Oryzias latipes: one gene and its partners. The protein of the gene in region 4 purifies or fractionates together with the protein of the main gene of each other region. This does not show direct contact. Links are inferred from orthologs where the notes say so. Each region holds a gene or a part of one and is shown on either strand. Other genes may lie near its edges.

Region 1 (3,500 bases), on a different chromosome or scaffold from region 4:
CAGAAGCTTTCATCTGTGCTGATGCTCAAATCCGCATCCCATTTTGTTGTCGGAAGTGAAATATTATTATCTAAATTACATAAAAGTTTGTATATTTTGGAGAGAGTTCTATTCATTGAAAAATTAATCAGAGTGGTAACTACATCTGGTAGCTTTAAATCGTCGTCTTTAATTTTATACTTTTTAGTAATACTTGATTTAAGTTGCTGATATTCCAAGAAGTTATTTATTCCATGTTTGTCTTGAAGTTCCTGGGGAGTTATGAATCTTCTATTAATAATTACGTGCTCTAGTTGTTTTATGCCCCCTGCTTGCCAAGCTGGGAAGTGAATCATTTTTTTGTTAATAAGGATGTCCGGGTTGTTCCAGATGGGTGTCATTTTGCACGGTTGAATTGATGATTTTGATATTTTGAGAAATTCCCACCAGGCTGTTAAGGTGGCATTTATATTAATGCTTTTGAAACAATCCTGTTTTTTAACTGTTTGGCTAATAAATGGTAGCTGTGACAGGTTGATCTTTCCACATAACACCTGTTCCAAGTCTAACCATGAGTTGGTTTCTGGATTATTTTTTAACCATTTTAAGATATATTGTAATCTATTTGCAAGAAAGTATTTGTGGAAATTAGGTAGTTCTAATCCTCCACAGCTTTTTGCAGATTTTAAAGTTTTTAGACTAATTCTTGCAGGTTTGTTGTTCCATAGAAAGCTTGATATGGATGAGTCTAATGTTTTGAACCATTTTAATGGCGGTTGTGTGGGAATCATTGAGAAGAGATAATTAACTTTGGGTAAGATTTTCATTTTAACCGTGGCTACCTTGCCCATAAGGGACAGAGGCAGGTTGGTCCAGCGTGTTAGATCGTCCTGTATGTTTTTCAGTAATGGGGTGTGGTTTAGCTGCACCAGTTCTGATAGTTTGGGGGAAAAGTAGATACCCAGATATTTGATATTTCCTGTTTTAACTGGAATTGTGAGTCTTTGTTCCATATTCCTGTTGAGTGGTAATAAAACAGACTTATTCCAATTAATGGAATAGTCTGATATGGAGGAGAATTCATTTATGATCATTGCTGTTTCATTTACAGAATGTAAATTCCTTAAAAACAGTAATATGTCATCCACATAAAGACTAATTTTATGATGGCTGTGTTTGGTTTTTATTCCTATAATGCTCTCATTCTGTCTTATTGCTGCAGCTAAAGGCTCAATGAATATAGCAAAAAGAGAAGGAGAGAGTGGGCAGCCCTGTCTGGTTCCTCTTCCAAGAAAAAACCTGTTTGAAGTCTGTTTATTAGTTCTAACTGATGCATTGGGGTTGTGATATAATATTTTGATCCAATTGATGAATGCTTCTCCAAAACCAAACTTATGGAGGGCAGCAATAAGGAACTTCCAATTAACTCTGTCAAAGGCTTTTTCAGCATCCAGCGATAGTACCGTCATTTCCTGGTTTTTAATGGTGGCAAAGTCTATTATATTAACAAGTCTTCGGAGATTGTCATCCGAGTGTCTGCCTTTGATGAATCCAGTCTGGTCGAAGTGAATTATGTGAGGAGTGATTTTTTCTATTCTCTGTGCTAGTGCTTTGCAGATAATTTTTACATCTGCATTGATTAAAGAAATGGGGCGATAGCTTGAAGGACTAGTGGGATCTTTGTCTGGTTTTAGAAGAAGAATTATGTTGGCTGAGTTCATGTTAGGTGGCATTGATTGGCTCTCATTAATAGATGTGACAGTTTTATAAAATGTTGGTGCCAGTTGTTCCCAGAATTCTTTATAAAACTCAGCAGGAAAGCCGTCAGGCCCTGGTGCTTTACCATTGGGCATAAGTAACAGAGCTTCATGAAGTTCAGACGGCGAGAGCGGAGAGTCTAAGTTTGTGATTTGATCCTCATTTAGCCTGGGTAGGTTTACATTATTAAGAAATGAGTCAATACTTTGCTCTGACGGATTGATCTGCGGTGTGTACAGGTTTTTATAAAAGTTTTCAAATGCGTTATTAATTTTGACCGGGTCATGGGTGACATTTCCTGTTTGGTCCATAATAGAGGTGATTGATGATTTTTCTCTGTTAATTTTAAGCTGATTAGCCAGAAATTTGCCAGATTTATTAGAGTTTTCAAATCTTTCAAGTCGTAGCCTTTGTATTTGAAATTGTGTTTGTTTATTAATGATGTCATTTAACTGCAGCTTTAAATTTTTCAGATCTCCCAGAATGTGTTCCTGTGCAGAAGCAGCAGAAGCAGTCTCCAGGGTTTTGATTTTATTTTCTAATTCTAATAAATCTGCTTTCTCTTTGCGTTTTTTGTGCGTTGAATAAGAAATGATTTTCCCTCTCATGACTGCCTTTGCTGTTTCCCAAAGAAGACACTGTGAAATATCGGGAGTATTGTTGAAGTCTAAGAAGGTTGCCCACTCTTTTTTAAAGAATTCAAGAAATTCCTGGTCCTTTAACAGAGACGTATTAAACCTCCAGGTTGTACCAGAGGGTGTGGATTTTTCCCTAGAAATGTTTACAGAGACTGGTGCGTGATCACTGATAATAATTGGATGGATATTGGAGCTTTGAATATTTTTTAAAAGAGAGTTACTGATTAATAAATAGTCTAAACGGGAGTGTGAATAGTGAACTGGAGAAAAAAAGGTGAACCCTTTAGTGTTTGGATGACATGAGCGCCACGCGTTGCAGAGACCCAGATCATTCATGTACTGCTTTAGAATACTTGCAGATCGCCATGTACGCTGGTTTGCTGCTGTGCTGAGTCTGTCAAGTTCAGGGTCCAAAACAAGGTTGAAGTCTCCTCCTATAATGATTGTGGAGTCAGAGTGGACTGAGAGTGAGGTGAAGAATCTGTGAAAGAAGGAAGAGTCGTCAAAATTAGGACCGTATACACTCGCTATACAAAAGTCCTTGTTCTGAATGGATATATTAATGATTACAAATCTGCCTTCTGGGTCAGTAACTGTATCCTTATGAGTAAAATTAAGATTTTTATTAATTAAAACAGCAACTCCTCGTTGTTTGGAGTTGTAACTGGCAGAGTATATAACTGGAAATTGTAAGCAGCACATAAGGTGATTCAAAGAATTCGATAAATGGGTCTCCTGCAGTAGAGCTATATAGAAACAGAACTGAATGGTTGCCGAGCGTCTAACCTTTGGGGGCGGGGTTTCAGACTGGGGGCATCTACTTGTACGCCAACCAGAGAGGCTGCGACGGGGACCGGGTCTACTATGACGGCTGTGCCATGGTGGCTGTGAACGGGGACGTGGTTGCTCGGGGCGACCAGTTTTCCCTGGACGACGTGGTGAGTCTGCAGGCAGCTGTTGCCGTGGCGACCGCAGCTGCTCGTCAGAATCACCTGAGCGTTTGTGTTCCAGGAAGTGGTGACGGCCACTCTGGACCTGGAGGACGTCCGCAGCTACAGAGGAGAGCACCTCCAGCCCGCCATGGTGAGCTGCCAATCCAGACGCAGAGCCCCGCCCCCACCCTCA
Region 2 (4,241 bases), on a different chromosome or scaffold from region 4:
CTTTTCCCCCCAAATACATGTCTGTGTATTACATTGTTGTGTTGTTTGCTGACAGACAAAAAAAATAAAAAAATACGAGTACTCTTTTAATTTGAAGGTTTCTTGAGTTTTTGGTACTTTTGTAAAAATGATAAATGTCAACAAATAAACACGCCCTGTTTATGGCGGACACTTTAAAGACGAAAAACATGAAAAAATTGTGAAATATATGGGGTACATTATTGAAAACAAGGTTGAGAACCACTGGCCTACACAACACAGGTTTCTATTTGGCTTGTGCAAATAAAGTCAGCATCTTGAATTAAACAAATATTGGAGGAAATAAAAAATTGTATACAAAACTAAAGCAATTTAACACAGGCTTTCTTTAGCTAACATGATGAAGATGTCAAACATACAATTCCAACCAGGTTTGAAGGCTGGATACACTCTTTCCAGTGAGATTCTGCAACCGAAATAGTTTTTTATTCGTAAAAACAAAGTTTAAATTGATAACATGTATCATAAATGTTATTTTTTCCTGTCAACCCTGTGGTTAGCTAACCCTCATTATTCTTGGTAACGTGACCTTGCACTGCTATCACAGCAGCAGCATCGTGTTCTTTTAAAAGTCATTTATTCAAAGATTTTATGATAATAAACAGAAAAGCACGTTGCTTTAATCCTACTAGCTCCCTCGAAACAGAAAAATTCATACAACTGAAAACAATTGAACTATTTTACCGGAGAAACACGCTCGAAGCCCTACAAGCGCAGCCATCTTGGACGGTGGCAGTGACCAAAGACTTCCGACATCAAGAGACTTGACGGACCTAACTTCCTCTTTACTCGATCAACCGTCGTCAGTAGATGTATAACCAAAATCAACTATTTACACAAATCAATTAAGATTAAATGTCTTCTTCTTATTATTATTTTTTTTATTGATATATGTACTGCACTGCCAGATGTCTATATTTGTAAGTCGATGATGAAAAAAATGTTTGTAACATTTGAGTCTACGTTTTATTTTTTTGATTTATTTTTATATATTTTTTATTTTAGAACAAAGGTATGAATAAAAAAGTCATACATTTTTTTTCCTGCGAGAATAAGGTTGCTTAGTTTTAATCCAAAAACATTTCTTCAAGTTCAGTGTATGAATGCACATAGTAGATTGCGAAGATACTAATTTCAATTTCACTGATGCTCTTTGGGTGTATAACCTCAATCGGAAGTCTCTATACCGTAATCATGTTAATACTTCAATATAATTTTGACATTAATTATGATGTAATTTAACGTAAGATTGAACTTACATTTTCAAATTAGTACAGTAAAAAACGTTAATCTTAGGACAAAAAATTTAATTTAAAAAAATTAGACAAAGACACCTGACAAAGATATTTTTCCCATGGACTCTTTTGGTGTTTTACGGTAAAAAAAAAAGAGTGCGCATGCGTCAACGGGTGCTGCCTAGAACCTTCCAGTGTGTTCACGTGTTTGTGTTTTTAAGGTTGGACTTGCGGCAACAACTCCTTCATTCAGAAAGATCACTGGACATTAGAGCTAAAGCAGAATAGGACGTAAGTAAGTTTTTTTTACAGCTAGTTTGTTGTTGATGTGCTTTTCATTTTTGTCTTACTTAGCGACCAGTGCTTTTGTCAGAACAGAACTAGCTTGTAAGCTAAATAATTAAAATAGGCTCCCAGAGATAGCCTGTTTTGTTGAAGACATGTATTACCATTTCGCAGGACATATTTGTTAATTGTTCTGTTTTGTCTGCACAGCTGTGAGGACAGAAGAAGACATGTCGGAAGGCGAACAGAACGGCAGGAGATATCCCCGGAATCTTCAGGGGGTTTTACAGATGGCAGTAGATGCTGGACCAGCAGCAGAGGCTCCAACTCCAGTTCAGCCAATGTCAGAGGAGGTAAACCTGCTTGTTTAGGGAATTTCAATTCACTACAGTCCTGAACCTAGTGTTCTTAAACACTGTTTCACCATGTTTATGTGAGGAGGATATTTCATACTAAATAATATGATCAATTGATTTAATTAGTCTCAGTTGAATGAAACATGTATTTATTTGTGAGTTCTTTTCTGAAATCGTTTGGTTTCAAAAGCAGTAAACCCAACCTTTTATATGTGACACTACTTCAACTTCTTTAGTGGAAAAAACAGTTATTTATCGGAATGAAGTAAAATGCTATTAAGAATTTTTAAATGGCATGCATGTTCTTAAATTTAAGAAAGAGTTAAATCAATTCTTTCTTTACCCGATACAATGTTTGATACTGTTCCCTTGTGATTCATTTTTTGTTAAGTATGACCTTAAACATTTTTGTTAAATCTGACCTATAACAACTTTCCCGTTTACTTTTGTAAACGGTTACATTTTAAGATTTAGTTTCATGCGCAGTCCTTGTTTTTATTTGTATTTTTTGCCATTGGGGACTTTGTTTTTGACCAACAACTGCCTTTGCTTTGGGTTCAGAGAAAAACGTGGCTGCGGGAAGCGCTTTCTGAAGTCTGTAAAGGCCAGCTGGATGAAGTAGAACAAATAAAGCAGTGCTTGTCCGTCCTGCGTAAAGAAAATGTGGGTGACAAGGATGAAAATGGAGAAGAAATGAGGGACGAAGATGATGAGGACGAGCGGGAGTCGGCCTTTGAGATGCTGTCAGAGTTGTGCGAGAACCTGGATAATGCTAGAGGTTTGTGATAATCGCTTTTGGAAATGATAGTGAGAGCAGATGTTGACATGATTCCAGATGGTATGGACTAAATTAATTCATCTCTTCTCTGTTTTTTACAGATCTGATGGTGCTTGGTGGACTAGAATTGTGTGTCTCTCGGTATTTGTGTCACGTCCAGAGCGGGCTGAGGTGGCGTGCTGCTGAGCTCATTGCCTCCTGTGCTCAGAACATGCCACAGCTTCAGGACCACCTGCTCAGTATTGGGACTCTTCCAAAGTTGCTTCAACTAACGGATTCTGACCCGAACCCCACCGTCAGGGTCAAAGCACTTTATGCGGTCTCATGTAAGTTCCTGTCTGGCACTCTGACCAAAGCTGCTCTAAGTGTGTCTTTCTAAATGAGTGATGTTGAGCTCCACACAGTTGTCCAACGGTGTAACGCTGTTTGACTGCAGGTTTGGTTCGAGAGCAGGAAGCCGGGCTTCAGGCCTTTTTGGCTCATGATGGATTCTCGGTGCTGATGAGAGGCATGCAGTCTGAAAACGAGAAGCTCCGGACCAAATCTGCTTTCCTCCTGCTAAACCTGTTGACCTCACACCCTGACCAGAAAGGTATGAATAAGGAAAAGCACCTAAACCATCCCCTTTACTCACCTGCTCATTACAGTTTAGAACAGGGGTCGGGAACCTTTTTGGCCAAGAGAGCCATAAATGCCACATATTTTGAAATGTAATTTCGAAAGAGCCATACAATAATGTAGTGTCCCTTCCCCACAGTGAGGCACGGAGACTTAACCTCTTTTAAAGTTCTTTATTCCGATTACTGCAGACCGCAACAAACGCCGTGCAATTAATTCAGCAACTCCTGAATCTCTCCCGCCGAGACGAGAGCGCGTCTCCCAACTTTATATTCCCCCCTCCCGCTGCAGCCCTCCCATTACCCTTATTCGGCCCATAGCTGAACCCCATTGGTCCAAACTACCTAACAACAGGCTGAGCGACAGAACTGAGAGCCAATCAGATCTCTGCTTGACGCGTTCAATGAACTCCAGAACTTTTAACGCGACCCAACAGCCATCCAACTCAGTCCGCGACAATTTGTTTAAAACTAAATATACAAATGAATGTGTGCATTTGATTTAATTTCAACATTTTTAAAGTACAATAAGTCTGTGGATTCTTTTTAATAACATTGTTATTCTGTTGCTAATAAATGGTGAGTATTTCTCGTGGTAGTTTTGCTGATGGTCTAGTCTGGTTGATACGTGGTGAGTTTCTGCTTCGTTCAGGCGTTGAGACTTTAAACGTGATCGTAGGTCTGAATGTTCTGTAGATGTGAGACAGACTGATCACATGCAGACGCGGAGCCAAACACACACTCACACGCTGCAGTGAGTGACGGGCAGTGGGTTTTACGTTATTACAATCCCTGCGCGATTCACCTGCTGCCTGTCCCCACAACACCTCACCCCCACCCTCTGCTTTCTCCCTCACACATCCCGTCCCCGCATCTGCGCGCTCTTTCTCAGAGACGGGAGCGTGCAGTTTTAGGTAGTCAATTCACAGGT
Region 3 (3,500 bases), on a different chromosome or scaffold from region 4:
GTGTAATAATTGTTTGTAATTGAGTATACCTTTAAAGCCATTGTTTTACCAAGCTCTGATTCCAAAACCACCGGTAGTAGTTTTTAAACAATAATCGGTCTTGATTTTTCAGCATCTTAAGTTGCATTCTTTTTTAATAAAAATTGTTGCTGACCCAAAAAGAAAAATACCATTGTAAACACTTACAATATAAATAACAATTTCTAAAGACCATTTATCATTTTTGATCCATTTCAAAAGTGTTCCTAGTGGTCTTTTAATAATGATTATGTTGTTTTTAGGCACAAAAAAAGAGACTGTCGTTTTCTACAACAGTTTCTGCAGACTGACAAGAGTGACTCTCCTCATAAGTTGTGGCCTGTAACCGTGGCATGAAACAAGCCCCCACCCCCCCCCATCTGTTTACATGCTCTCCAGCTAGCTTACAGCCACTCACAACCCCAAGCTAACCATATCAGTGTAGCGAAAATGATGAGGAATATCTTTCTATCTATATCTAGCTATCTAGCCGTACAGTTTTCAGCCAGATGCCGTCTCCAACCAGGAAAACAAAGACATACAGAGATCTATTTGTCTATAAGTGGATGCATCAAAATGGAGTGGAGCGGCACCGTGTTGTGCTGCTGTGAAAAAGAAAACAGAATCAACTTATTTGTGATTTTTTTTTTTTTTTTTTTTTTTTTTTTTTTTTTTTTTTAAGTGATATTTGATGTTACAATTAAGTTTTTTTTTTCTTTTTTGGTTTATTTATTTATTTATTTATTTATTTTTTGCAAACAGTGGTCCTTGAGGGGCGGCTCCTCAAATGTTTTGGAAGTGGTGTAGTCGATGATAATCGGTATTTGTAAGGTAAACATACAATCAAAAAGGATCTTCAGGATTCCTGTTTAGTTCGATAGTTTAAATGTTGGCTTCTTTATGCTCTTTGAGAATCAGATTTAGTGTGTTAATCTTTAGATTTTGCTTGTACAATGTAGACAGCCCATTAATCTGTTCTTGGTTCATTGCATGAACAAATTCAGATTGGATCAAAAGCAAATAAAAGTCTGATGGAGCTGCTGGCCCAAGTTAACCTAAATCATGAAAATGTACCTTAATCTGTCTTGTGTCTCCATCTGAAGCTTAATAAACCAAGCTTTAAAATACATATCATTTTTGATTAAATTGCAAAATACCAGAAAGTACAGTCAGTTACCTAGAAGTCTAAAGCTTTGGCTGACTGAATAAAGGCTGGTCAGATGTCTGTCTTAGTGTGAAGTTCATCAAAGCTGGTGATTGGCATTGCTGTTGCTGATTGACCGCCTCTTCCCTGCAGAGTGAGTTCAGAGCGGAGGAAGGAGAAATCCAGGGATGCAGCGAGGAGCCGGCGTGGGAAGGAGTCGGAGGTGTTTTATGAGCTGGCCAAGCTGCTGCCGCTCCCTCACAACGTCAGCTCCAGCCTGGACAAAGCGTCAGTCATGAGACTGACCATAAGTTACCTGCGTATGAGAAAACTACTCGGCACCGGTTAGTATGTTTAATTTATGTTGTCGGGAAAGCAGAGCAAACTGAAAACAATTGTTTTGGTAAATCAAGAAAAGTATGATAACATTTAAACACGTGGAGTTTGAAAAAATGGGTAACTGTAAACCAGTTGTTTGCTCTAAACATACTGAGTCACACAACCTTACAGGCTGCTTTTGTTTGCTTAGTGTCCCAAAAAAGTTGACATTTCTTCTTGTTTATTAACACTGCCTCACTCTAATCTCTTTCCCAACTTCATGTTATTTTACCAGATGAGCCTAAACAAGAAGAGGAAACAGAGCTTGATATGAAATTCAACAGTTCCTACATGAAGGCTCTGGACGGTTTTCTCATGGTGCTGTCTGAAGACGGAGATATGATTTATCTCTCAGAGAATGTCAACAAATGCCTTGGGCTGGCACAGGTTAGTCCCGTAATATCAGAAACAGGACAGTAGAAAATTTCAAGAAGCAAACAGGAAGTTTGGAAGTAAGGCTAGACTTCCTACGAGAAAGAGGAACGCATGGAGATGCTCCACAGTTGTTCACGGCTGACATCTTTTTGCAGTTTGACCTGACCGGGCACAATGTGTTTGACTACACACATCCCTGTGACCAGGAGGAGCTTAGGGAGATGTTGGTGTACAGAACAGGTGAGCTGCAGCAACTTCAGAGGAAAACCAACTCCTGCATCCCAGATGTAACGTTGATAAGAAGAGTTTTCTCACATCGTGATGAGCAAACATGTTTTACCTTTGATTTGCTGCTGGGTGTTGATGTTAATTACATTTAGCTAAGAAAATGATTTTTACTAAAATGAGCTTTTTGGAGCAGATTTGCTGCCTCCAGCCCAACCCCCCCCTCCCCCCCCCCTCATTTTTAATCAGTCTTCACCCCAGTGAAAGTATGTATGTAGCTCAGTGCCTCCTCTTTGTAGCTGCTTGAAATGTAACTCTGGTTTACTTCTGTCAACTCAAGCTCAACATTTCTTGTGTGTTTAGGCTCCAAGAAAGCAAAAGAACCAAATCCAGAGCGCAGCTTCTTCCTCCGAATGAAGTGTACACTCACCAGCAGAGGGCGCACCGTCAATGTCAAGTCAGCTACATGGAAGGTTGGGGTCATTTTCAAGTCATAACAATATTTTAGGTCAGAACGTCAATGTCAGTTTCAATAGTGATAGACATGTGGTCAAGTTTATCAGGTTTTTTTCATGTTTAGTTTTTATTGAGTGTGAGGTTTTATTTGTTTAACCTTCTAGAAGCTGCATGACTGGTTAATGTGAGGCCTGTTCTGTATCAGTGCGACTGTAATAAGATAATAATGAAGTTACACAATAATCATAATGAGATTGCATTCATTGCCTTTTGAACACACTTCAGTTGGCAGGATCACAAAGCAGATAAACGACACATTTGGTATTGATATATTGTAAATTTAAGAAGGGGATTTTTTTTTTCTTTTTCTTTTAGAATATAGATAGGTGAAATGTTTGTATCCAAAATAAAGGAAAGCATTTTGTTGTCCTATACTGAATGTGTTTTTACTGTTTTGTGCCTGCAGGTGCTTCATTGCTCAGGTCGCGTGCACGTTAACAGCGTTGAAGCTGAGCAGAACAGTAACGGACAAAAAGAGCCTCCTGTTCCGTACCTGGTTCTGATCTGTGACCCAATCCCCCACCCCTCCAACATCGAGGTCCCTTTGGACACCAAGACCTTCCTCAGCCGCCACACAATGGACATGAAGTTCACTTACTGTGATGAGAGGTGGGTTTTTTTTTGTTGTTTTGTCTCCTCCTCCTCCTTTTAATACAGTAAGAGCAAAAGGTTAAGAGTGTGAACTCATTTAAAACATTTGTAACCACACAGAGCCCCCTACTGTTCAGTACTGGTACTGAAAGTCTAGACCTAAAGAAAATCTTTGTTTTGTTTAATCCAGGATCACTGAGCTCATGGGTTATGACCCAGAGGACCTTATGAATCGCTCTGTGTATGAGTACTA
Region 4 (4,008 bases):
TTCTGCAGCTTTTATTCAACAACGAAACACGGAAGGAAAAGATTTGGTCAGCAGTTCATTGACTTATTTGTCAACCTTCCCATTGTTTTTACAGCTTATAACTTGGCGAAAGAACAGAGGCTGAATTTTGGAGACGACATTCCCAGTGCTTTACGCATCGCCAAGAAAAAACGCTGGAACAGCATTGAGGAGAAACGCATCAACCAGGAGAACGAGTTACACGCTTATCTGACCAAACTCATTCTGGCTGAGAAGGAAAGGTGAGCTCTCCTGGGAAAAATCTACTTATTTCAATTATTGCTTTTTTAAAATCTGCAATCCATATCACCATAACTTAATATTTTAAAGAGAGCTGGGTGATTACAAAGAAAAACACGATGACAATCAGAACGGAAGTGATGCTGCCAAGATCGCGTCAAGACATGTAAGCTTTTACATTTACTCTATTTAGCCACAGCAGCTGTTCCACATTTTTTGACATGTCTGATCTTCTTGATTTATTGATTTACTTTTATCATCCTGTGACCTGCAAAGGACAAATATTTATTGGATATGGAAGAGCTCTTCTCGCAAGTTGACGAAAAAAGAAAAGTGAGTATCAAAAGTCGTTTTTTTTTGGATCCTTCTGTGAAATATTAATGTTTTTTTAAGTTAGATATTGAAAATCCAGGTGACATTTATCTGTATATGCTAACATGACACTTTCATTGCTACCATAAAAGCACAATTAGAAACCATTAATGCAAATGTTTGCTGCTGATCTCTGTTTCTTTATTTTCAACTGACATCGATATCACTGATAAAATGATGTAATGCTGTAATGCTTAGTTTGTTTCTATGGTTACGGTGTGCGTTTCTAATATAGCTAAATGTTATCTGCAAGGATAAAAGCATGAGTTTTTGTTTTTTTGCCAGTAAGGTGTTTTTTTTTCTTCTGCTTCTAAAGTTCAGAGCCCAGAAAAGCTGCCAGTATGTTTTGACAACAAAGCAGTTTGGTTATAATTTAAATAATGATGCAGTTTCTTAGCAACCAAATATGGTTTTTGGTTTCTTTCACTGTTGTGTACCTTCTCTGGCAAACAAATGAGCTGTTTTTGAAATAAAACAGTAGAGGTTTAAAATGCTTGAGACAAATTTTCAAGGAACGGGCGGAAAAAACAGAAATCAATTTTTCTTTTACTTAAGTGGTTTTTTTGTTAAGTGTATGTAATGTTCAGAAATGAACAGATATGCTCTGAATCTTGTCAAAGAGGAGAGACGACTCTTTGCTTCACAATTAGTTTGATTGTTTCTTTTCAGAAGCGGGAGATCCCGGATTATCTGTGTGGAAAGATCAGTTTTGAGCTGATGAGAGAACCCTGCATCACACCAAGCGGAATCACGTATGATCGCAAAGACATCGAAGAGCACTTACAGGTAAAGGTTTTGTCCTCCAGCACTTTGATTGCTTCCAAATAGTTTTGTTTTCTAAATAAGCTATCGTTAAAGACCCACTCCGATCATCTTTTGATCTATTTTTAAGGCGTTCCCAGTGGTATTTTTAAAATAGTTATTATATTTTTAGGCAAAATCAGAAAAGCTGTCATTTTCTAGAATATAGTTTCTGCAGAGTGGCAGGAGTTCATTTGAAATGAGTTGTGGCCTGGAGTATTGCCAGGGGAGCAAGCCCACCCCCTCTCCCCCTTCCCGTGAGAGCTCAGAGCAGGAAGCCTTGACATCACAAAAAAACTATTTTTCAACAGTCTTCTCCTGATTCACAACGGTTTGAATAAAACAAATACTCAGAAATGTAATTTTTAGCTTCATTTTCTCCATATATGTCCTCCATCATCAGAAAAAGGCTACAAGAACAAGCTAAAAACACCAAATGCAATTTTCATCGGAGTGGGTCTTAGAGTAAACCTCCAGTGCAGTTGTGTGATTCCTCTCATTGACCCTCCATACATTTTGCATGTAGAGTACTGATGGATTCATGAAAACGTCTTTGCAGCGAGTCGGTCACTTCGACCCGGTCACCCGGAGCCCCCTGACCCAGGATCAGCTGATCCCTAACCTGGCTATGAAGGAAGTGATCGATGCCTTTATCCAGGAGAATGGTTGGGTGGAGGACTACTGAAAAAAGCACCTCCCATTTCTCCCTCATGCCCCCCACCTCCACCTAGTACTCAACACGAAGCCTGAACTACTGAAGGCTTTTGAAAACAGATCACCCCTTGCCTGGATATGCATCTTACACAAGCAGGAAAAGCCGCACTCTGGACTGCCCAGTGGGAGCCGTGGATCTCGGTTTGCCTCCTCCCTGCATTCAGTTTTTGCTGTAAAACTTCTTGCTGCAACTCTCCACAGCTCAGTGTTCATATGCTGCTCCCTTTAAGAACCCCTCTCTTTCTTTCTGTCCGTCTCTTTTAGTTTTTTAGTCTTTTTCCGCTCGACTCCTCTGTGATCAAATCGAGGCCATTTTCAGGTCTTTTTTGCACATTTCCTGCTTTTCTTTCCTGCTGTTTCTGAGTGCCACAGTTATTGAAAAGCTTTGATCTCAAGTGTTACACGTAAAACACTAATATTTAAAAAAAAACAAGTATAAAAAAATGATCATTTTTAGTTTTGAATTTGGCCTTTTTTTCCCCATTGAATGGCTTTTCATTTGTCCATTTGTTAAAGGTCAACTTATTTGTATAAAAGTTTGACATCAAATGCAACATTTTACTGCAAGACTTTTCAGGACCTTAACACAATTTATTTTCCTTTTCATATCAGTCACCCCATAACAGACAATTCAAATCAGCTGAATGTATAAATGATGTATTTCATAAATTTTTTTAAACAACGATTCAAGGTGTTTTGTTTTTGGTCCTTTTGGGGTAATCATGTCAAGCCTTGAACAGGAAGTGTGACGATGAAATGCTGCATTTAAAGAACGTTTTCATGTTGCTGGTTTGACGTTTAAAGCAGAAATCTTTCAACCTGGGAGCCACAGTGGTTTTCTCTGAATCCTGACCCGACTGTCCGTGTTCAGATGTTGAGGCTCACCTGGAATGACAGCCTACATTAACCACGTGAGCATCACCGCCCCTCCCCTCAGATTCAAGAAATGCTGGAAGACTTACGACCATCTTCTTTCCTCCATACCTCAGTCCAAGTGTTTGCGTGCTGGAGCTCCAGCATCCCTCTTTGTGAAACCCATTATGGTTCTGTGCTTGCCGTTGGCCGGTTTTCCAGCTGAATGTGTTTGTGGTTATACGGACTTGTTGGTTGTCGTTTTGTTTTGGGGTGCAGACATTGTACATAATTTGCTGGTCTTACTCAAAACGTTATTTCTTGATGAGATAGGTTTTTTTTTTCTGGAGAAATCCTAAAGCTTGAGAAACTGTATTAAATGTAGATATGTTGATAACAGAAATGCCTGATTCCGATTTCATTCATTTGTCCCCATTCAACCATAAATTTGGAGTATGTATGTTGTGATGTTTGATGCTAGTGGATCATTAAAAGAAATACAAAGAGTGAATGGAACTCCGCTGCTTATTTGACATTTAGTAATAAAAAGTTCATGGAAAACCTTTCTTTTTTTGTTTAATGAAGTGTCTAAATCAGAAGTGACTTAGAAACCTGTAATTGGCACTTTTTTGTTATTTAAATCCAGTCAACATGCCTTATTTCATGGATTGTTTGGTCACTAGGTGGCGCCGCTCTTCTAAAAAACATTTTAACTGACAAAACTTATTAAAACAATTCAAATATGCAAGAATCAGTTCCGATGGGATTCTGCAGCTGTAATAATTCCACCTATTCTGGCTCATTTAGACCCATATATTGAAAAATTGTTTCAAGAAAATTGATGAAAGTGAAAAGAGTGCAAAATCACAAAAGGAATGACTCTTACCAAACTTTAGAACATGGCAGACCCATTAAGACTGTAGTTTCTTATTTAAGCTATTTATTCTTCAGCTTTACAATTTTTTTTCTTGATTAAAATGTTGCTTTTTTGCTAAATGAAGTCGGTTTTGA
Region 5 (3,500 bases), on a different chromosome or scaffold from region 4:
TAAGAAAAGTACAATGTCTGTTTAATTAGGGCTTAGAAATGTATGTGTGGAGTAAAATCTTATTTTTGGAATAGTACAAATAAAGAGGAAAATATAAATTAATAATGTCCTTATTCTTTAGCGGTGAGGCTCTGGGGTGATCCGTGCTTAGGTTGAACTCTGACCTTAGAGCCTAGACGCTGATGGTGGTCAGAGGCCAAACCATTCCAAAGCATCTCTCCTAGGATGGAGGAGGGCCGGGGGACCATCTAGAAAGCAGGGAGAGAGACACACAATCATGAATTTACAAAAATATGACTATGATTGGCTGAGAAGAAAGCAATTCGTTTAAAAGTGAAGGGCTAATTGCTAAGGACGAGTGACGGAACAACCCAGGACATCTGTAAATGAGTTGGATCTTCCTGATTGAAATTGTGCTGAAGCTTCACTTTAGTGAGTAGCCATCGAGGAATTTAGCAATATAAACCACAGTCCAATTAAACATTCATGCCATAATTATTTATTGGAAGAAGGTGTCTTTTTTCTTCTTCATAAAAGACCAAACCTGCAGCAGATTGAATATTGTAATACTATTAAGTCCAATCATTTCTTCCATAAGGCAGCATTTACCAAAAGAAGGCTAACTTTATAAAGAACTTAGTGTCTAATAGATACTCTCTTTTTTCTTAAAGCAGCGTTAAAAGTATTTTTGACATACTTTATCATTTTAAAGTTGTCATAGAGCGTTCAAGTTTAGGGTGCATGTTTGACCATACTCACATTTAATAAGCTATTTGTTATGTCTTTTTGTTTTATTTTTTTTTTTTTGTTTTTTTTTGTTATATGTCTTAAGTAATTTAACACTTTTGAAGATGCGTTTCAGTTAGTTGCAAGATCTAATCATCCAACTAAAAGCATAATGATTGAAATATTCTATATTATATCAACTCTATTTTCTTTCATTCATTTTTAAAAAAGAAAGAAAATTTAGAAAAGTGAATGAACTGGAAGGCTTTTTTTCTCAGTGCAACTTTTACTAAATGGATTTATTCAAATTACTAAGAGATGAAAAAATTCCTAAATATTAAGTGTAAGTGACTTTTTTGGAGAAATCTGTTTTAAAGTTCACTATGATTAACAGAAAAAAGTTCAATCTGTCAGAGTCTTCACCTGAATCAAAGGATTTTCTGTTGTGTCTCAAAAATGTCACAAACTTATATTTGATATTAAAAGTGACAGAGTTGTCTTAAAATATCTATCTGTGTTTTTACCTAGAATTCCATTTCTATTCAAAGATCAGTGACATTCCAGTTTTTTTTTAATATGATTACAAAGAGGCAACAACACATGATCTCATAATTCTTGAGACTCACATTTACTGACATAATATTTGCAGAATTTTTCCCCAAAACACATTTTTAAGCACTAAACAAATTTGAAAAATGGTATAAAAAGAAGAGCTTTCGTCGCTTCAACTGCTAACCGCCAAATGTTTTTGGTCACAAAAGACACAGAAGACACACAAAATACACAAAAAAGTGTATTTTTCAGTAAAAAAAAAAGTCAAATTTTCAAACCTATTGGAAGAAATCTTTATACATTCCCAAGTACAAATAATTGACAACAAAGAGAGTAACAAACTGTGCCTTTTTTCCACTATTTTGGTAGCTGCAGTTGAAGGAGTTTCTGTTTTCAAGTCTCCTCGTACTGTATCTTCAAAGGCTGTACACAGTAAGGTACGGGGAATACAGTGGTTATTGTTCTGCTCACGTCTCAGGGGAGACTCACCAGAAGAGAGGGGTCAGCCAAGCAGGCAATCCCTGAATTGTTTTAAAACAGAAAAACATTCTTTAATGAGGAGGAGCCTTGACCCTCTTTAACTTCCTCCTTCTGTAAATAACCTACAATTTGAAAAATATATTTATATATGTCTGCAAAAAAAAAAAAGGTTGAACATAAAAGAAATACAGAGTTCAGGTGGGAATGTTTATGCAATTCCCTTTTAAGTCTTTATTTATATTTAGGCTTCAATAGGTTGTGGTGATTAGATTCTACAATCAGCTCAGACGGCGCAGTCATCAAAAAAAAAGAAAAAGAGTGTACCTGCATGTGTTCATTAGGAGTTTGACCGTGTATACAGAGCTAATGGCTGCGATAAGTAACAATCTTATGGCTTCTTGGTCCTAAAGTCAACTTCACTCATGTGCAGTTCCACCCAAAAGTAATCTGCTTTCATTTACCACACTTTGCTTGAGATGGATTCATAATTAAAAATAAAATCTGGACTTTTTTTATTCATTTCTTATGAGATTCAGACATTGCTTTGCAGAGTGCTGATGGAGAACGAACAGGGTTCTAAAAGCAAATCTTTTGAGTTGCAAGAGTGTAAAAAAAAAGTTGAATTGCATCTATAGTGACCATTTTTCTTTTTTCTCCTTTGTAGGGTTTCTTCAGGCGCACTATTAGGTTAAAGTTGGTGTACGATCACTGCGACCTTCACTGTCGCATTCACAAGAAGTCCCGCAACAAATGCCAATACTGTCGTTTCCAGAAGTGCCTCAACGTCGGCATGTCGCATAACGGTAAGATGCTGTTGTTGCTCCTCATGTGCAGATTCTGTTTTTGTGTGTTTGTTCTTCTTGCGTAAAGCAATCTCACGTCCTAAAGTAAAACAATAACCGTCGGTCTGAGAAAAAAAAAAAGTCAAAGTTTCTCAGCATTTGAGTGTCATAATTGTCACACCTATATGCTCTTGACAGGAACAAAACCCCACACTCATGCTCACCAGAAATAAGCAGATGCAGGTTAAAAAAAACACAACTTTGAAGTTGTGGTCTAGGAAACATTTACAGAACAACTGCTCTGCCTCTTAGGTCCTCTGAGAACAGCACACACACTTCTGACCACACACCTGCCTCTTTACACTATGGGGTGTGGTGTACATGTAGCACATCGCCTTGTGTGGTGTCTTTGTTGTTGTTTTTTTCGCTCTCAAGACGTTATCAGAGCTTTAACTGTACTTCCCTCCCATTAGCACGATCTAAATACAAATTTGTTGTCCATCAAATAGAAACTTTTTTTGTTTATGGCTTTATTCTGCATGAGATAACTCTATTTAAATGCTCGGTACGAACTCAACTCTGTGCGAGGAAGGATTTTTCCATTAATTTTATTTCAATCACTGTATTTAGTTAGTTAGTATCCTTATGAATAAAACTGGATTCCAAGGAAAACCAAAATCCTTTTACATGAAAATGCATCATGATTAATCAAATTAGCTGTATCAATATTGGCCTAGATGTTTTGACTTGCACAGACGATTTCATCAATCATTTGCTACATTCGATTTTAACATCAGTTGTGTGTACTAATAAGATTTTTGCCATGAAATCAGCTCAGATATTGGTTCCAGAATGCAGCTTTGGTAAAGGACAAAACACAGATACCTAATATGAACACCAGGGGTAAAAAAATAAATACATCGCTTAAACACTTTAAAGATATTTTTGGTTCATAATTGT
Region 6 (3,500 bases), on a different chromosome or scaffold from region 4:
AGCCCAGTTTGAAGAGTGCAGAGAAAAGATCATCGAACAGCCCAACATCATCCGTGACCTCTGTCACATCCTGTACTACGGAAAGGTAAGAGCGATGCCTTCGTGCATCTACAGGAAAAAGTCTTCATATTATGACTTAGACACTAGAGAAACCATCTTTAAAGAGGATGTTTTAGCTTTTTATAAACACTATTTTGCCAAAAATCATACTTTTATTGAAGATGTGAGGGTTACGTTTTAAAAATTAGTGAAATCTGTGAAGAATTATAGACGCCAAAAGGCTGTAAAACGAAACACTTCTTACTCTTTTCCCTGACAGACATGAATATTTTCACACTCTTATCTCTTGTTTACACACTCAAAGAATAACACTTTGCAGAAAAGCAAGTAAAGTTTTTTTTAAATGAAGACAAAAATCAGATATTTATGTAAATTTGTCAAACTGAGCGCATTCTGTCCAGGAGACATTATACAGATTGGCGAGGTCTACGGCCAATCCGAATGCAGAACACAGTGCGCTATAAAAAAAAAAAAATTAGAAGAACATGCAACATTGCACTGAAATCCCTGAGACGGCAAAACAGGAAGAGATGAAGTGCAAAGCAGCGAAGGAACACTTTACAAAGCTGGAGGTCTTATTGTTACAATATGATCATATAAAAATGTACAAACTAAAATAGAAACGTTAGAGGACATCAATAAAATAAGCCTTTCTTTATTACATTATTACTTTTGACCTTTAGGTTTTTGCCAAAGTTTTAACCTTTTTTCATTTTTTAGGTCAATAATATTTGAAATAATCTAATAATTTGATTAGATGAGTTCAAATAATTCTGTGTATTGAAACGGTGGCAGAGGGCTCTAATTTAATATTTTCCTTCTTTGAAGGTGCCAGATCTTCTATGAAGATGCTAAATGTTGTCCACTTAAAAGTCATTTCCTGTTCTTCTTCCCCCCCAGACTCTCCCAAAGACTGCAGCTCTGGCAGTTCAGTGCGTCAGCTCCTTTGCGGTGGATTTCTTCCTGCAAACCCATCTCTTCCACGCCGGCGTGCTCTGGCACCTTCTAGGCTACTTGTTCGGCTACGACTACACCCTGGAGGAGAGTGGCGTTCAGGCCAACCAGGACACAAACCAGCAGGAGGTGGCCAACAACTTAGCCAAGCTCAGCCTGGTAGCTCTCAGCCGTCTTGGAGGCTTCGCCCACACGCCAGACGGCAACAACCCAGTTGCAGAGACCAACGGCGTGGAGGGCGCCCCTCCCGAGAACCCCACCATCCGCAAGAGCTTAGCTGCCATGCTCACTCCGTACATCTCAAGGAAACTGGGAACGGGAACTCCCGCTGAGGTCATTTGAACAAGAAGACCGCAACCACTTCTGTAAAGAGAAAAACGGCTTTTAGCACTTATTTCTGTCTGTTCAGGTCTTGAAGCTGCTGAACAGCAACTCCGAAAACCCCCACCTGATCTGGAACAACGGAACTCGAGCCGAGCTGCTGGAGTTCCTGGAGGCACAACAGGAGGGGAACATCAAGAGGGTAAGACTCAATGCTCACACGGGCATTTACAGTCTCGGGTCGTCTTTTTCAGAAGTCCGTTTCCTTCACAGGGAGAAAATGATAAAAGCTTCGGTGCAGACTTTGTGTTCAGCGATCACAGCAAGGAGCTCATAGTGGGGGAGATCTTTGTGCGAGTCTACAACGAGCAGCCCACCTTCCCCCTGGAGGTAAGTCGGCTTCTGTTCATCTTTGGCTTTTGTCGTGGAATGATCAGAAAAACGCACACAGTGACATCAAAAATAACATTTTGGGTTCATCGAATATTATATTTTGGTTTACCTTTTTTTTTTTTACTAGAAGTAGCTCAGGAGTATAAGTCACTGGAGCAAAAATTGACGTAATAAAGAAGAAAAAAGTCATATATGAGTCGCACTGAAATATAAGTTGCACTTTTGGGAGAAAAATGAGATGCTTCTAAACAACACCGCCAAGCCCGGCATAATGCTGAATTCACACCAAGCATGATGTACGCAAGAAATTCACATCAGCTGCCTCTCTTTCGACGTGCGTCGAATTTTCTGCTCAACACTTCTCCATAAACATGTTCATAAACTAGACACTTGCGTTGTGTTTGTGTGTGTGTGTGTGTGTGGGAGGAGCTACCATCAAGCGTATTTCGCCTCACTGCTACATGGAAGGCTTGACATGATACGGATGATGTCCAGAGATTTCAGTTTTATTTAGAAAAGCGCCACAAAGGCATCGGTAAGGGGTGGATGAGATCATTCAGAGACTCTCCCAGCATGCTGAGGTTATGCAGCAGAAGCTGCGTCTGAATGACGGACGCTCTCAGCGGCACTTCCGTGTCTCTGTAACCGCGTTTAATGACTTTCCGAGGAAAGAAAAGATGAAAACAAGAATGAAAATGACTCGAAACAAGAATATAAAGTTCAGGAGGAGAATGATCAGATTCCTCTCATGTTTGATTTGGACGGCGCTTCTTCTTCTTCTGCATTGCTGTCAGTAGTGAACACTGATACACTGACCTGCAGTGCCCTCTACTGGTTGTTAGTATGAAAGTTGCAAAGATATGAGCCTATAAATTCCAACCTCACACCTCAGTATGAGTCACTCCCCTGGCTAAACTTTACTGAAAAATGTGACTTGTACTCTGGAAAACACGGTAATAGGCATGATGAATAATGTACATTTTGGTCTGTATTTAGTATCCCAAAGCGTTTGCTGCCAGTCTGCTGGACTACGTTGGCTCCCAGGCCCAGTACCTCCACACGCTGCTGGCCATGAGCCACAGCAACAAGGTGGAGTCCCAGCAGCACGCCGAGAGGCTTCGCTTCGCTGAGATGGCTTTAGAAGCTCTCCGCAACGTCATCAAGAACAATCCTGGTAGGGAAGACGACACCAGAGTGCGGTGGTCCACAGAGGAATCCTGACTCTCTGTCATCTCTTTCTACGCACAGGTTCAGAGACCGAGTGCATCGGCCATTTCAAGCTTCTCTTCTCTTTGCTGCGCGTCCATGGAGCTGGCAGAGTGCAGCAGCTGGTTCTGGAGGTGCGTTTTATGTCCTCTCGATGCGTCTGTGTATCCCAGCAGATTGTAACGGTTTTGGTGTCCCGTTAAGGTCGTCAGTACTGTGACGTCAAACCAGGAATGTGTGGGGAACATTGCAGAGTCCATGGTGTTGTCCAACTTGTTGCTGCTGCTGCATTCTCTCCCCTCCAGTAAGAAACTTCACGGTTTTATCGTCTTTTAGGGTTTATAGTTTAACTTACTGACTTTGTTGCATCCTTCAGGCAGGCAGTTGGTGTTGGAAACCCTTCACGCATTGACGTCAAACACAAAAATTGTGAAAGAGGCTATGGCCAAAGGTCATTGCAGACGTTATTCATGTCTTCTGAAATGTTTTGAGTCTGAATTTTTGCAAGGAGACTTATGCGAGTTCTCTGGTCCCGCAGGTGCTCTCATCTATTTACTGGACCTCTT
Region 7 (4,160 bases), on a different chromosome or scaffold from region 4:
ATTGTATGGGACAGAGATGCTTCTGTATCTAGAGAAGGAGGTTCTTGACAAAATGATTTCTCAATGGAAGAGGGGCCTCATTAGCATAACAATTGTGGGAACTTGCATGGCTCTACTTTACATACAGTGTAAAAAGAAAAAAGAAAGAAGAGATTGTTCCATTTCCCTCAGCGATTGAAAGAAAATTGTTCTTTTCAAGATTCTTGGGAAAAATCGTGGCACCTTTTATGTTCGCAGCTATTTTCTAAAGTGGACTTTCTGCAGGCCTTTTCTGGATCAAATCTGTCTGTGTGTGAAGCACAGAGATGAGTTTAATTCAACAGATTTATCAGGATTTTAATGTCGCATTTGGGGGTTTTCTTCTTGTCAATAGGTCTGTTTAGTTGTACAGAGCAACCTCTGGTCAATATAGGCGTCTCATTTCAGGCTTCATTTTTGTCTATTAGAAATTTGTGTTTGACATCATAGATGGTCACTTCACTGTTTGTGTATGTTTATCGCTAATTATACAAAAAAAAAAATGTTCCTTAATGAAATAAAAAACAGACCATTTCAAAACACTCCCCTGTAAAACAAACTTATCATAAATGGAAAACAAAGTAGCATACGTCAACAAACAAGGGATCCTGGAAAACCTCTTAATTCAATGTTTAAAGTTCCTTTTTGTTTTTTTTTAGAGGGGAGTCGATAGAAAATGATCTGCCTCTGAAACCAGCTTCTACTGGTCATTTTAGGAACTGCAACATTTAATATTTTCAGGAATTCTTACATTTGGTAACTGGATATTTTAATTAAAAGCAAAAAAAAAAAAAAAAAAAGAAATCAAAGAACAAAGGGACCCTGGGAATCTACCTGTAGGGTGTAAATTTGTGGTTTTTCAAATTGGAGAGTCATTGGAAAATCCCCTACCTCTGAAACCAGCCTCTAGTGGTCATTTTAGGAACTGCAGTATTTAGTTCTTTAGGGTTTGTCTCACATTTGGTAACTGGACGCTTAAATTCAAAGCAAAAAACATTTTTTTAAACTGATCCTGGGAAGCACATCTGTAAATTTAGGGTCTAAATTTGTAGTTTCGTAGGAGGGGAGTCAATAGAAAACGACCTCCCTCTGATACCAGCCTCTAGTGGTCATTTTTGAAACTACAACATTTTCTTTTATTGTTATTTTAATATTTTCTTAAAGATCGAGGTAAATAGAAATAAAAGCTATATTTTATAATTTTGTTGTATACTTCATAATTGCTATTTTGTCGCAGTCTTAAGTTTAATGCTTTTTTGCAGGATAAATGGGTCTCAGGATAACTGCCTGTACCTTTAACTCATCCCAGTTGGAGTGTGGCCCCGCCCCCTTTGCGCAGACGTCCCATGAGCCATAAAGTTTTATGTCCTGCTCAAAGTTTAGGCTAACAGGAGGAAACTTTTTTTCGGGGCAGTGAGCGGCACAGATTTGCGCTGAGTCTGCCTTGGAAAATTCCTGGGGAGGAAAAAGTTTTGAAACTTTTCCGAAATTGGGAATGCCGGGACTTCTTTTTACTGCCTGAACTTTGGTGGTGTTACCTTTTTTTTTTTTTTTTTCACCAACTTTTGCGGCACTTTTTTTCTGAAGGGGGGGGGAGTAAAAGCTGGGTCCGGACGACAATACAGATTCCAGAGTGGAGCAGATATGCGCTTTGTTTTATGTACAAGTATGTCAGCTGGGAAAAGCCAAGGAAAGCGGCCTTTCTCTGCTGATTTTGACAGCTAACATCGTTCGAAAACAGCCTCGCGGCGGTCCGCTCGAAAAAGTAGACCGACGTTAAAAAGTCATGACTTTGCAAAACTTTTACTAAGTTTCGTTAGAAGTTAAAGATTTGACAAAAAAAAAAAAAAAGTTCGGGGACGGCTCGAACCGCCTTTGAAAAGTTTCGTAACTCAACGTTTTCGGGCCGCAAAGAGTTCGCAGAGCGCTTGTGGAACAATGGATCCGAGCCAGCACAACCCTCCTGTCGGACACCAGATCGTTCACGTTCGGGGCGACTCGGAAACGGACCTGGAGGCGCTTTTCAACGCCGTGATGAACCCCAAGGGCGCCGTCGTGCCCCAGTCCGTGCCCATGAGGATGAGGAAGCTGCCGGACTCCTTCTTCAAGCCCCCGGAGCCCAAGTCCCATTCCAGACAAGTAAGACCCCCCCCCTCCAATCCCGCGGGGGCCCCGGCCTAAACACGGCCACCTCTGCTCAAAACAACCGCTCCATCTAGTTTTTTTGTTAAAATCACGATTTTAGTCCGTTTTTTTAAATGTATTGTAAGCGCAAATTATAATTTTAATTAAAAGAAAATCATCAAAACATTAAAAAAAAGTTTAAACGTTTTGCAAGAAATGTGGATACATTTATTTGAACATAAAACTTTATTGCGAAACTTTGTTAATTCATTTATAAACAGTCATTTAAAGGTTAGTTAGATATACTTTTTATTTTATTTTAATACAGCTTCAATATAGAAATCATATGATGATTGGATTTACCCCATCAACCCCTCCCTCCCAATTTCCCCTTTCGACTGCTTACCGAAGTTTTGTAACTAGTGCGCATGCGCCGTGCAGGCCCTCTGGTGCCTTGGATTATCTCTGTGGGCCCTGACACAAGTTGGATGCACATCCAGATGACTCAACAGTGTTCAAGTCTGACTTAATGATCATTTTTTTTTCATTTTTTAGAGATTTTTCATTATGCTGCTGTTTTATAATACAGTCCAAAATGAATCACTGTGATACTCCTCATTGGGACAAACAAGATAAATAATGTCTTTGTCTTTGTCGCTAATAAACTAGATATAATGCAGAAGTACTGCAAATTTTTTTTTTGGGGGGGGGGGTCCTAGACAAACAAAAAACAAAAAAAAACTAAATAAAACCCCCACCTGCCAACTTTACTATTTGTTGTTTATCCCCCCCATATATGTTTACATTTCAAATAAAAAAGCTTGTCTTTATGCATTTATTTTTGAAAGCACGCATAAACTGTAATAAAAACTAGAAGAACTTCAGAAGAAGACTAAACAATTCCAAACCCAGCCCACAAAACATACAGTTTATAGATATTAGGAAACGAGACAAAACATGTATGTAGTCACAGATGATCATTCAATGAAAAATACAGTTTATAGGGGACTAAAGCAAGCAGGTCCTCTAAAGGTACATGAAAATATGTGACATTTAGTTATCAATGTATTGAAACAATGTAAAAAAATAAATAAAACATCTTCTTTGTAACTCAGGCTAGCACTGATGCTGGGAGTGGCGGCGTGCTCACCCCCCACCACGTACGCGCACACTCGTCTCCAGCTTCCCTGCAGCTGGGCGCCGTTTCGGGTGGCTCCCTGTCTGGGATGGCCTCAGCAGGCGCCTCCCCCCAACATCTCCGGCAGTCGTCCTACGAGATTCCCGACGACGTGCCCCTGCCGCCAGGCTGGGAGATGGCCAAGACCAGCTCCGGCCAGAGATACTTTCTCAAGTAAGTGTGCAATCTAACAGCGTGTGCATAAAAGTGAACGGGGCTGGAATCGAAAACGGGTGGACAGCAGACGGTAACATCTGGACACCAAAATGGGTCTCGTTTCTTCGTCGAGAGGAGTACGAACTCAAAGCCTGGAGGCATTTAAAAACTGTCAAGGTTCCATAACCTTTCTTCCAAAACATAATTTGCAGAATGCACCTGTTAATGGGACTCTAATGTTCCACCGATTAGGTTAACGCCCATAAAAAAACGGACCAAAGCGAGTCCAACAGATGTGGAACAGGTGTTGTTTTCGTCCAACCTGCAGAACATCTGTTGCACAGACTGTACATGCGAGGCACTGAATGCCCCATCGAGTGTGGCTTTCAAAATATCCCCGTGTGATGAGTTGCACCCAAACATTCAAAGAGTTCTCCCAGCAGATCTTTGATTTCTGCGCCAGGGTCCACGTGCAGCAAAGACCTCCAGAAATCCTTCTGGTTCTCTTTGGTTTCAAGATGGCGGCGGACATCATCGGGCCGGAAGCAGAAATCATACAACTAATCCTAACCCAAAAGTGTTCGGAATTGTAGCCAAAACTTCTACCAAGGCTTCAAATGAGAGAAATCGTAACTGTTGTCAGTTAAAATGAAAATTCTCTGAGCGATAATGGTGGACTTTCCAA

What was found.
Region 1: the proteins of stub1 (region 4) and nadsyn1 purify together in Homo sapiens (co-immunoprecipitation; 3 studies listed by BioGRID and IntAct, with this or other methods). This does not show direct contact. The link is inferred for Oryzias latipes from reciprocal best matches to the Homo sapiens genes STUB1 and NADSYN1.
Region 2: the proteins of stub1 (region 4) and hspbp1 purify together in Homo sapiens (affinity purification with western blotting; 4 studies listed by BioGRID and IntAct, with this or other methods). This does not show direct contact. The link is inferred for Oryzias latipes from reciprocal best matches to the Homo sapiens genes STUB1 and HSPBP1.
Region 3: the proteins of stub1 (region 4) and hif1a purify together in Homo sapiens (affinity purification with western blotting; 3 studies listed by BioGRID, with this or other methods). This does not show direct contact. The link is inferred for Oryzias latipes from reciprocal best matches to the Homo sapiens genes STUB1 and HIF1A.
Region 5: the proteins of stub1 (region 4) and pparg purify together in Homo sapiens (affinity purification with western blotting; 3 studies listed by BioGRID). This does not show direct contact. The link is inferred for Oryzias latipes from reciprocal best matches to the Homo sapiens genes STUB1 and PPARG.
Region 6: the proteins of stub1 (region 4) and dnajc13 purify together in Homo sapiens (affinity purification with mass spectrometry; 3 studies listed by BioGRID and IntAct, with this or other methods). This does not show direct contact. The link is inferred for Oryzias latipes from reciprocal best matches to the Homo sapiens genes STUB1 and DNAJC13.
Region 7: the proteins of stub1 (region 4) and yap1 purify together in Homo sapiens (affinity purification with mass spectrometry; 3 studies listed by BioGRID and IntAct, with this or other methods). This does not show direct contact. The link is inferred for Oryzias latipes from reciprocal best matches to the Homo sapiens genes STUB1 and YAP1.

The regions. Positions count from the first base shown.
Region 1 is NC_019861.2:38,222,793-38,226,292, reverse strand, and holds part of nadsyn1 (glutamine-dependent NAD(+) synthetase), read left to right. Parts: intron 1-3,181; coding exon 3,182-3,313; intron 3,314-3,386; coding exon 3,387-3,458; intron 3,459-3,500. UniProt on the Homo sapiens protein: Catalyzes the final step of the nicotinamide adenine dinucleotide (NAD) de novo synthesis pathway, the ATP-dependent amidation of deamido-NAD using L-glutamine as a nitrogen source.
Region 2 is NC_019866.2:14,512,615-14,516,855, reverse strand, and holds the start of hspbp1 (hsp70-binding protein 1), read left to right. Parts: upstream 1-1,441; 5' UTR 1,442-1,565; exon of another isoform or gene 1,566-1,569; intron 1,570-1,764; exon of another isoform or gene 1,765-1,769; 5' UTR 1,770-1,789; coding exon 1,790-1,912; intron 1,913-2,476; coding exon 2,477-2,693; intron 2,694-2,794; coding exon 2,795-3,019; intron 3,020-3,129; coding exon 3,130-3,285; intron 3,286-4,241. Other genes in the region: tufm (elongation factor Tu, mitochondrial), read right to left, coding at 724-760. UniProt on the Homo sapiens protein: Inhibits HSPA1A chaperone activity by changing the conformation of the ATP-binding domain of HSPA1A and interfering with ATP binding. Interferes with ubiquitination mediated by STUB1 and inhibits chaperone-assisted degradation of immature CFTR.
Region 3 is NC_019880.2:11,961,647-11,965,146, reverse strand, and holds part of hif1a (hypoxia-inducible factor 1-alpha), read left to right. Parts: intron 1-1,315; coding exon 1,316-1,506; intron 1,507-1,775; coding exon 1,776-1,927; intron 1,928-2,070; coding exon 2,071-2,155; intron 2,156-2,503; coding exon 2,504-2,613; intron 2,614-3,062; coding exon 3,063-3,265; intron 3,266-3,437; coding exon 3,438-3,500.
Region 4 is NC_019877.2:8,950,354-8,954,361, reverse strand, and holds the end of stub1 (E3 ubiquitin-protein ligase CHIP), read left to right. Parts: intron 1-94; coding exon 95-260; intron 261-348; coding exon 349-424; intron 425-534; coding exon 535-591; intron 592-1,299; coding exon 1,300-1,416; intron 1,417-1,990; coding exon 1,991-2,116; 3' UTR 2,117-3,508; downstream 3,509-4,008. UniProt on the Homo sapiens protein: E3 ubiquitin-protein ligase which targets misfolded chaperone substrates towards proteasomal degradation.
Region 5 is NC_019863.2:9,220,182-9,223,681, reverse strand, and holds part of pparg (peroxisome proliferator-activated receptor gamma), read left to right. Parts: intron 1-2,422; coding exon 2,423-2,561; intron 2,562-3,500. UniProt on the Homo sapiens protein: Nuclear receptor that binds peroxisome proliferators such as hypolipidemic drugs and fatty acids.
Region 6 is NC_019878.2:21,481,510-21,485,009, reverse strand, and holds part of dnajc13 (dnaJ homolog subfamily C member 13), read left to right. Parts: coding exon 1-85; intron 86-960; coding exon 961-1,347; intron 1,348-1,423; coding exon 1,424-1,537; intron 1,538-1,608; coding exon 1,609-1,725; intron 1,726-2,724; coding exon 2,725-2,902; intron 2,903-2,976; coding exon 2,977-3,068; intron 3,069-3,138; coding exon 3,139-3,238; intron 3,239-3,310; coding exon 3,311-3,385; intron 3,386-3,472; coding exon 3,473-3,500.
Region 7 is NC_019871.2:6,488,494-6,492,653, forward strand, and holds the start of yap1 (transcriptional coactivator YAP1), read left to right. Parts: upstream 1-1,360; 5' UTR 1,361-1,956; coding exon 1,957-2,157; intron 2,158-3,257; coding exon 3,258-3,493; intron 3,494-4,160. UniProt on the Homo sapiens protein: Transcriptional regulator with dual roles as a coactivator and corepressor. Critical downstream regulatory target in the Hippo signaling pathway, crucial for organ size control and tumor suppression by restricting proliferation and promoting apoptosis.